3 linked regions of the Oryza sativa Japonica Group genome follow. The protein of the gene in region 2 interacts with the protein of the main gene of each other region in a pairwise test. Links are inferred from orthologs where the notes say so. Each region holds a gene or a part of one and is shown on either strand. Other genes may lie near its edges.

The links.
Region 1: the proteins of WUSCHEL-related homeobox 4 (region 2) and transcription factor PCF5 interact in binary tests that used the Arabidopsis thaliana proteins (3 or more experiments, as listed by UniProt). The link is inferred for Oryza sativa Japonica Group from reciprocal best matches to the Arabidopsis thaliana genes WOX4 and TCP4.
Region 3: the proteins of WUSCHEL-related homeobox 4 (region 2) and dehydration-responsive element-binding protein 2E interact in binary tests that used the Arabidopsis thaliana proteins (3 or more experiments, as listed by UniProt). The link is inferred for Oryza sativa Japonica Group from reciprocal best matches to the Arabidopsis thaliana genes WOX4 and AT3G57600.

What each region holds. Positions count from the first base shown.
Region 1 is NC_089035.1:6,231,598-6,235,354, reverse strand, and holds the start of transcription factor PCF5, read left to right. Parts: upstream 1-1,173; 5' UTR 1,174-1,507; intron 1,508-1,514; exon of another isoform or gene 1,515-1,614; 5' UTR 1,615-1,948; coding exon 1,949-3,325; 3' UTR 3,326-3,427; intron 3,428-3,541; 3' UTR 3,542-3,757. UniProt on the Arabidopsis thaliana protein: Transcription factor playing a pivotal role in the control of morphogenesis of shoot organs by negatively regulating the expression of boundary-specific genes such as CUC genes, probably through the induction of miRNA (e.g. miR164).
Region 2 is NC_089038.1:33,610,206-33,613,600, reverse strand, and holds WUSCHEL-related homeobox 4, read left to right. Parts: upstream 1-1,456; 5' UTR 1,457-1,616; coding exon 1,617-1,862; intron 1,863-1,940; coding exon 1,941-2,222; intron 2,223-2,313; coding exon 2,314-2,496; 3' UTR 2,497-2,809; downstream 2,810-3,395. UniProt on the Arabidopsis thaliana protein: Promotes differentiation and/or maintenance of the vascular procambium, the initial cells of the developing vasculature.
Region 3 is NC_089037.1:3,994,699-3,997,562, forward strand, and holds dehydration-responsive element-binding protein 2E, read left to right. Parts: upstream 1-1,054; 5' UTR 1,055-1,199; coding exon 1,200-2,156; 3' UTR 2,157-2,303; downstream 2,304-2,864. UniProt on the Arabidopsis thaliana protein: Transcriptional activator that binds specifically to the DNA sequence 5'-[AG]CCGAC-3'. Binding to the C-repeat/DRE element mediates high salinity-inducible transcription.

The sequences.
Region 1 (3,757 bases), on a different chromosome or scaffold from region 2:
GAAATCTCTCTCTCTCTCTCTCTCTCTCTCTCTCTCTCTCAAAAAAAAAAGAATAAGAAGAATAAAAACTAGGGAAATACTCCCTCCGTTTCAGTTTATAAAACAACTTTGGTCAAAGTCAAACTGTTTCAAGTTTAAATAAGTTTATAGACAAATATAGTAATGTTTATAATACTAAATTAGTTTCATCAAATCAATAATTGAATATATTTTTAGAATAAATTTGTCTTTGGTTCAAAATGTTACTACCTTTTTCTATAAATTTGGTCAAACTTAAAACAGTTTGACTTTGACTAAAGTTAAAACGTCTTATAACCTGAAACGGAGGAAGTACAAGTTTACACTATCCTGTATGTAGATGTGCCAATGAGGGGTGTTTCCTTCTATCTTTTTTGAACAAATCTATGGGCACCATCTCGGTCCCTCGACCCGTTATGTTTTTGGCATCAAATGAACTAAAAATAGCTTGATCTTATTTCCATGCAATGGATCAAACTTGGGGCAAGTTTGGACAATGACGCCACATAAAACCCTCTTTTAGCAAGGTGGGGCTACAAATAAAACACACCATCAATCTATAAACAAGTATCTCAGGGGAAAGGTCTCACATTTGAAACTAATATTGCAACTCTCGACTTTCCAAAAAGGAAAATCATTAACCATTGGCATATACCCTTGAAAAAGCTCCAGTTGCCATCTTACTTGCCTATGCAACTGCCCAACTACAAGAATTATAGTACAAGCACTCTCTAAGAATACCACAAGTTAGCTTCTGAAGAGCATAGATATTCATGTCATGACAAACATGTCTACTGTACAACAAAAAAGAAAAATCGGCTAAGTAGATCACTCCACAATTGTGCGAGTAGATACTAGCGGTTACATATACACGAACGTATATATAAACATAGTTAAAATTGCTATATATTACCATAAAGCTATCGAGATGCGCTTAATTCCTTATCCATGGAGACTAGGGTGTGTGCCTCCGGTTTTTATTTTTTTTCCCAAAGGCACGTACACGTGTGTGTGTTCGAGTTTCATCGCGATTCGATCGTTGTCTACTGTTTTTTAATAATACAACAGATGTCCTAATCATCCACGCATGCATAACCCACAATCCCCCAGCATCATCCATCCCTTCCCAATTCCCAAATCACCACCTCTCTTCATCACTTGGGCTCCAGCCTCCTGCAGCCCCAGCCAAGCTAAGGTAAGCTCCATCTGCTTCTGATACACACACTCACACACAAAGCAGCAGCCAGCATCAGCAGCAGCAGTGTGAAGCAAAAATCTCTATCTCTCTCTCTCCTCACTAAAGCACAAATCCTACTCTTATCATCCTGTCTTCTTGCCTCCCTTCTGCCTCCTGCTCACCAAGCTTCCCACACAAACCCAACAAGAGAGTGAGAGAGGAGCAAAAGCTTTGGCTGGCCGTCCCCCCTGTTAAAATGTGATGTCCAATCCATGGGATTGCGTCTAGTTTAGTCCCCCACTCCTCTCCTGGGTCAGTCCCTCCCTGGCCACCACCTCTTCTTCTTGCAGCCTCCTCCTCCTCCGGGGCCTTCTTCTTGTTGATTCTTTTGATGGTTTTTGTGTTTCTTGTCGACCTAGTTATGGGATCCGGCGAGGTGGATGGACGCGCATTGGAGCAGCAACAGTAGCGGCGGGGAAGAAGGCGGCGGGGGATCTGGATCCGAGGCACCACCACCACCGGGTCACCCACGGCGGCGACGGCGGCGGCGTAGGAGGAGGAGGAAGCGGGGGACAGGAGGAGGCAGATGAGCAGCAGCAGCAGCAGCACGACCACCACCGGCTTCTCCAGCTCCACCACCACCAGGGTGTGCAGCAGGACCAAGAACCGCCGCCTGTTCCCGTCTTCCACCTCCAGCCGGCGTCCGTGAGGCAGCTGTCGGGCTCCTCCGCCGAGTATGCCCTTCTCTCGCCCATGGGCGACGCCGGCGGCCACTCCCACCACCACCAACACGGCTTCCAGCCTCAGCTCCTCTCCTTCGGTGGCGTCGGCCACCACCACCACCTGCATCAGTTCACGGCGCAGCCACAGCCCCCCGCCGCGTCCCACACTCGGGGTCGTGGAGGTGGAGGTGAGATTGTCCCCGCGACGACAACTCCACGGTCGAGGGGCGGAGGCGGCGGCGGCGGCGGGGAGATCGTGGCGGTGCAGGGCGGGCACATTGTGCGGTCGACAGGGCGGAAGGACCGGCACAGCAAGGTCTGCACGGCGCGCGGGCCGCGCGACCGCCGCGTGCGGCTGTCGGCGCACACCGCCATCCAGTTCTACGACGTGCAGGACCGGCTGGGCTACGACCGCCCGAGCAAGGCGGTGGACTGGCTCATCAAGAACGCCAAGGACGCCATCGACAAGCTCGACGTGCTGCCGGCGTGGCAGCCCACTGCCGGCGGCGCAGGCGCGGGCAATGCCGCCGCGCCGCCGTCCTCCTCGACCCACCCCGACTCCGCCGAGAACTCCGACGACCAGGCGCAGGCCATCACCGTCGCGCACACCGCCTTCGACTTCGCCGGCGGGGGCAGCGGCGGGACCAGCTTCCTCCCGCCGTCGCTCGACTCGGACGCCATAGCCGACACGATCAAGTCCTTCTTCCCCATGGGTGGCACCGCAGGCGGGGAGGCATCGTCGTCCACCACGGCGGCGCAGTCGTCGGCCATGGGTTTCCAGAGCTACACGCCTGACCTCCTGTCCCGCACCGGCAGCCAGAGCCAGGAGCTCCGGCTGTCGCTGCAGTCCTTACCAGACCCCATGTTCCACCACCAGCAACATCGCCATGGCGGCGGCGGCGGCGGCGGCAATGGCACCACGCAGCAGGCGCTCTTCTCCGGCGCCGCCAATTACTCGTTCGGCGGCGGAGCCATGTGGGCCACCGAGCAGCAGGCGCAGAACCAGCGCATGCTGCCGTGGAACGTGCCCGACCCCGGCGGCGGCGGCGGCGCCGCCTACCTGTTCAACGTGTCGCAGCAAGCGGCGCATATGCAGGCGGCGGCTGCGGCGCTGGGTGGCCACCAGAGCCAGTTCTTCTTCCAGAGGGGACCCCTTCAGTCCAGTAACCAGCCCTCCGAGCGAGGATGGCCGGAGACCGTCGAAGCCGACAACCAGATGAGCCACCACCAAGGAGGGCTGAGCCCCTCCGTGTCGGCGGCCATCGGTTTTGCCGCTCCCGGCATCGGCTTCTCCGGCTTCCGCCTCCCCGCGAGGATACAGGGCGACGAGGAGCACAACGGCGGCGGCGGCGGCAATGGCGACAAGCCGCCGCCGCCGTCGTCTGTCTCCTCGGCTTCTCACCACTGACCGCAGCAGTGGCGAGCAGATGACTTCACCACCACCAATCCACCATGAGCAAACACCACACCATGTACCAGACTATCAGCTAGCTCCTCCACTTCCATCACGGTGAGAAAAAAAAACCGAGAATTCTCATGGCTAACCTGCATTAGTTCAGAATTTTTCTCGTGTTAGTTAGCTGATCAATCTTGTGCTGCTGGTTTTGGTGTTCTTGACATGCAGGAATTGTCGATTGCATTCGGGAGGAGCAAAGTTTGGAGGTAGCACAAGTGCACTACTACTGATGCTACTACATATCGGTTGGTTGGTTGGTTGGTTTTCCATCGATCTCTTCTGCTGCTGCGCATGTCATTGGTTTTTGTTTCAAGAATTCACTCGGAGCTTCTTAGAATTAGGCTTGTGAGAATGCAGCAACACGATGGCAAGCTTTAGCTTAGC
Region 2 (3,395 bases):
GACTGTACCCAGCAACTTTTGCACGAGAATGATGTGTGTCACTCTCTGTATCATTAGCTAAGCTCTGGGATGATGGGCTTTACTTACCTGCAGGTAGTACTGCTGCTTTTGCTGATATATTGCCGGGGGTTATCAGGGTTTCAGGAAAGCCATGTTGTGTACTCCTACATGTAATGTGTTCATAGAGATTACAGGGTACTGCTGCTACATATGCAGTGTGGAGGAATATTTTTTCAGTGCGTACTGGAGGTCTGGAGCCATGGCTCTGTTGATGTGCAGTATCCTGTTGCGAGTTCAACGATAGATGGAGGCGCTAACTCCAAGGTCAACCTCAGCATCAATCATTCTGGGTCTCGCTTTCGTTTGCATGCTTTGCCAATCATATATACTAGCATGTTGCCGCTTCATCGATGGCAGATATGGAGGTTTTTGATGGTCTCCTCATCGATAGCCCCCTCTCTGCCTGCGGCTAACCTAGCTAAATATATAGAGCAAATATATATGGCAAATCGATCTTAGAGATTGCGGACAGGAATATACTTTTCTGTGTTTTGCTTTGCTTTGCTTCTAGCTAGGTCTATATGATCATGCGCAATCATATATGCAGGTATATATAGATGGAGTTGTGACTAGCTAGCTAGTTATAGAGAGAATAGCACACAATATGCAATGCATTCAGACTAGCAGACAGCAAAGTAAGCAGGGTAATTACTTGTCAGACGAAGACTGTAATTTTAACACACTACAAAGTTCATAAATATTTCATTTGAGATATGACTATATGAGTCGATCAGATCGAGCTTCATATATACTAGACCATATATAGTACATATAACAAAGATATTTTTTTTTTATATTCTGGAGCAAATATGTAACTACATTTATGATGGCCAAATACCTGGTCAGATCTTGATCGCAACAGAGGGGGATCAGCAAGCTTGCTGAATTAATTGATCAGGTCAAGTCGTTAAAGCAGACAATTAGCAGTAAACTAAATATACAAAACTGAGAACAAAACTCGTACTGTAGCTAGCTACTCTTTAGCAAGCTCACATCTTTACGAGGAAAAACTGTATTAATTAGCTAAAACATCATTTTTCTCTCTAAAAAAAGGTATAGGTCAATGTACAAGTAACTGGAATTCGATTGGTATTCACAAATCACACATTCACGCTTGCTTTAAAAGGCATTGTAAAGGAAGATTAGTTTTCCCATATATTTCTTGTCAGTCGTCGTCATGAATTTCGACAGGAAAGGTGAAACAGGGGAGCTTTAGCTCCATGCGAGGGAGAATTTTTACCTTTATTACAGCTCCCGCTTTTTCGTGAATTTGATGATTACGATTTTACGAATGCTGACGCCTTTCATCACCAATCTACACATTCCCTGTCGCCCCCATGAAAGGGCACGCCTTTAATTCTCGACTGTTACCTCGATATCTCACACAAAACACACTCAAACCCTCGCTGCCTAGCTTTATCGCCTTCTCCCCGTATAAAAACACGCCAAGATCACGCTTGCTCGCTTAGCCCTAGCTACAACAATCTAATCTATCTCTGCTTCCAATTCCCATACAAAGCTAGAGCTAACTCTGAGTTAAACTGCGACATTACACAATGAGGCTTCACCATCTGCATGTGGCCTACCTGGATCACAAAGCGTCGTCGTCCTCGTCGTCTCCGGCGCCACCATCCATCTCCCCGTCGTCGATCCCCGGATCGGCCGCCTTCCCTGCTTTCTCCTTCAAATGCCTCCGCCCGCTCGCGCCCAAGATCTCGCTGCCGGAGCCGAGGAAGATGATCGCGCCGCCGGACTTCGTCGTCCCTCGCGCCAGAAACGCTTCCAAGCTGCTCAACTACACTGTTAGACACATCAAACCCTACTTGTTCTTGATCGATCGATCGATCAGGTTCATGATCGTGTATATATTTGGTTTGCAGGTGCAGGTGCCGGCGGCGGGGACGACGAGGTGGAACCCGTCGGCGGAGCAGATAAAGGTGCTGGAGATGCTGTACCGCGGCGGGATGCGGACGCCGAACTCCGTCCAGATCGAGCGGATCACGGAGGAGCTCGGCAAGTACGGCCGGATCGAGGGCAAGAACGTCTTCTACTGGTTCCAGAATCACAAGGCCCGCGAGCGCCAGAAGCAGAAGCGCGCCGCCCTCCTCACCCTCAGCACGCTCGACCCTTCCTTGCTGCCCGCTACCGCTAACGAAACCAAAGTAATTAATCAGCAAATTAACCGAATTTTAATAATCCATGAATCTGTAGACATTTCTGCCCGGCTAATAGACATTTTTTGCGTGTATATAGGAGGCACCGGAGAAGAAGGAGAAGGACGTGGAAGATGGATTGGCGAGCTGCAAGCGGCGGTGCAAGGCGTGGGGTGACGGCGCCGGCGATGGAGACGCGGTGGTGGCGACGGAGGCGGCCGGCGGCTGCACCGACGAAGTGACCCTGGAGCTCTTCCCGTTGCATCCCCAGGGAAAAGCTTAATTAGCTGCATGTGCATATATGTATACTCCGTCGATCGTCTGTCACGCATGGTATCATCATGGATTGGCCGGGTTGATGTTGATTGTGGAAATTAAATTCCCTCGTCTTTGCGTGTGCATTGTGTTGTAGTTGGTCGATCGTGTGTTTGGATTGCTTTGAACATATAATGCATTGTGTTGTGGCCGGGTGCTTGATCGGAAGAATATAATCAGTAGTTCCAAACTGGAATTAGCAGTTGCTCATATACATGCATGAATGGTGTAGAGATCACGCAACTATATATGCAAGGTTTGGATATGCTAATTAGGGCTTACACACGCGCATGCATTTCACCACCGGTTATTGATATACGTACTTATCATATATTCACATGTGTATGACATCATCCAGGCATGTAAGGGTGATTGCTATTTTTAAAAGGTCAAAGACACAAACAATTAAGTACATGTTCATATATCAACAAGTCACGTCAATCTCATAACATTATTTCATACTCCCTCCATTTTTTTAAATATGGCGTCGTTGATTTTTGGACATACATGTTTGACCATTTATCTTTATGTGTAGATACGAAAAACACAAGTTATGCGTGTACCTTCAATGGAAAAAATAAAATAAATAATAGTTGTGTTTTTTAATAATATGAATGATCAAACATATATCTCAAAATAAACAATATCATACATTAAAAACTAATTGAAATACTAGTTAGCGTACTTGGAGATTATTGATGCCCCCGCCTCCCCTTTTTTACTTAATGGGAAATAAAAGGTGCATGTATTATCCATCGGGTTTAGTAGTCCTTTTTTTATGGAATATCCATGCTAGCACAAATCTTAATGCAAATCAGACGATGGAAAAATCAAGTTTTTTTCTAACGGAAAACTTGTCGACGTTTT
Region 3 (2,864 bases), on a different chromosome or scaffold from region 2:
AACACTGCTAAATACATAAATCACAGAAGTACACTACATGATCACACAGAAGCATATACAGTACAGTACATTTTTCATAGATTTGTGGTGGTATCCTATCCTGAATTGCTCACCGTTGGTCAGAGAGACAAGGAGACCGATAAGCTCAGATTGCAGGAGGCAAGAGGGCTAGAGAGCCGAGAATCATGCGTTCATGGAAACATGGGCACATGCACCCTGTCCGACGTGGACGAGAAGCATGTGAAGTGGACGCGCTCGTGAGAGCCAAAAATGCTGTGAGGTGGATCTTTATACCTCGCATTGATACCATGGTAATATGGTAGTAAACTGTGTACATGGAGCATCAACATGCACGCCATGCTATCCGCCTATCCGTACGTACGTTCTCTCGGTGCATGCACAGATCGGTAGTGCCCAGTATGCTAATACTACAGATACCATCTGTAGTATATTATATATCAAGTATGCAAAGAGCAAAGTAGTTCTCTAGGATTAGTGCCCAATATGCTAATTAATTCTGCAGATACAATCTGATGTAAACTTGTTCAAGTTTACAAGGATTTTTTTAGAGATAACGAAGATTATGACTAGCGAGATATATCTACTACTCAAATTCCAATTTCCAAACGTTGAACCTACAAAATCCATAGGTTATCTTGTTATTAAATTTGCCATCGAAGCCTCTTATAATTACAATAACCTAAACCAGAAAGAATCGTTTGCAACAATGCACTGCAGAGACTGCAGCACATCATCCATCCTAGAGATGCCCCCAACGGTCACATGCGCGCTAAGCTCACAGGTCCTCAGAAAGCGCGACACCACCGTGCCAACACAACGCCACCACCATGCATTCTCCCCTTCCGGCCCGGCCGTGACAACATTTAACACCCAACCCCATCGGATCACACTACTTATCCCGCGCCGCGCTCCCCCTCTCCCGTCTCCTCCTACTCAGTCACACTCCCCTCACTCCCACTTCACTCCACCCCTCGCGCTCCCACTTCAAAAACCTCGCGCCTCCCCCCATCTTTCGACGACGAGTCGTTCAAACTCCAAACTCCAACCCAAAAACACCGCCCGCGCCTAGCTAGCTATATGTGTTTGCGTACGTGCGAAACCAGGTGAGATTACGTGCGTTTCGCTGTGATTTCACGTACGCCGGCTGCGTCTCGCGCGCGCGCGCGATCGATCGCCGTATGGAGAGCTACGGGAGGAAGCGGGCGTGGAAGAAGGGGCCGACGAGGGGGAAGGGCGGGCCGCAGAACGCGGCGTGCGAGTACCGCGGCGTGCGGCAGCGGACGTGGGGGAAGTGGGTAGCCGAGATCCGCGAGCCCAACAAGCGGACGCGCCTCTGGCTCGGCTCCTTCGCCACCGCCGAGGAGGCGGCGCTCGCCTACGACGAGGCCGCGCGGAGGCTCTACGGCCCCGACGCCTTCCTCAACCTGCCCCACCTCCGCGCCGCCTCCGCCGCCGCCGCGCACCAGCGCCTCAGGTGGCTCCCGGCCTCCGCCGCCGCCGCCGCCGCAAGGGGGGGCGCCGCCGCCGTCCCCGCCTACGGCCTCCTCAACCTCAACGCGCAGCACAACGTCCACGTCATACACCAGAGGCTGCAGGAGCTCAAGAACTCGTCGTCGTCGCCGACCAAGCCGCCGCCGCGTACGCCGACGCGCGCCAACCCGCCTCCGCCGCCTCTCCCCACCTCGTCGCCCTGCTCCACCGTCACCAACAGCGTCGGCTCCGCGGCTCTGCCTCCGCCCATGTCGTGCTTCCAGGCGCTGGAGCAAGCGATGGCGGCCACGGCGGCGATGGAGAGCGCGCCGTGCGACGACGACGCCGCCGTCGTGGGCTTCGGCGCCGACAAGCCCCAGCTCGACCTCAAGGAGTTCTTGCAGCAGATAGGCGTGCTCAAGGCCGACGACGACGGCGCGACAGGCAAGAACGGCGCCGTCCACGGGGACGACGGCGAGCTGGCGGACGCGTTTGGCTTCGGCGGCAGCGGCGAGTTCGACTGGGACGCGCTGGCTGCCGACATGAGCGACATCGCAGGAGGCCACGGCGGCGCGCTGGGCGCCAATGGCGGGTTCCAGATGGACGATCTGCATGAGGTCGAACAGTTTGGCGGGTGCATGCCCATCCCTATTTGGGACATTTGAAATCTCATCGGTAGTCATGCACAAGCTTTGAGCAAATTTCTAGCCTATCTGCATGCAGATGGGTCATTTCAGTGATGCAAAAGCTTTAATTCTTCCAAGTTCATGTAGTCTGATCATCTGATGGGTAACGAGTTTTTTGTTTAAGAATGATGGGTAATGAATCTGCATGCGTTTCATGAATCTGCAACAAAGTCTTGATCTGTTAAGTGCAAAAAACTATTCTAGAAGTAGGGGAGATCAGAGCTTGTTTTTGCATACCATTTAAAACCTTGTTTGGATTAAGAAAAAACAAAACGCAGAAATATAGATATAGAACAATAAACATAGAAATGCACGTGTAAAATAGAAGAATTTTTAAAAAAAACATGTATAGGTGTTTGGAACGCATGAATTTTATGAAATAAGACTCTTGTTGCTTAACTAACAAGGTAATAAATTCCCTTTTTATGGTTAAAAATCACCTCATTGTTGCTCACTTCACAGGGAAAGTTTCCCTTAGCTTTGGCCTTATTTTTCCCTTGATTTCGACTGAAGGAGTAAAGAATAGAGAAACTCAGGAAAAGTTTCCGAAAGAATTTTTATGCCATTCATATATTCCGAACACCACGGTAGGAAAGAAAAAAAAACTATAGTTTTCAATTCTTTGATTTGAAAATCCTCCATCCAAAACAGGCCCTAAAAGGTCGTTAAAAATTTGACAAAAAATCC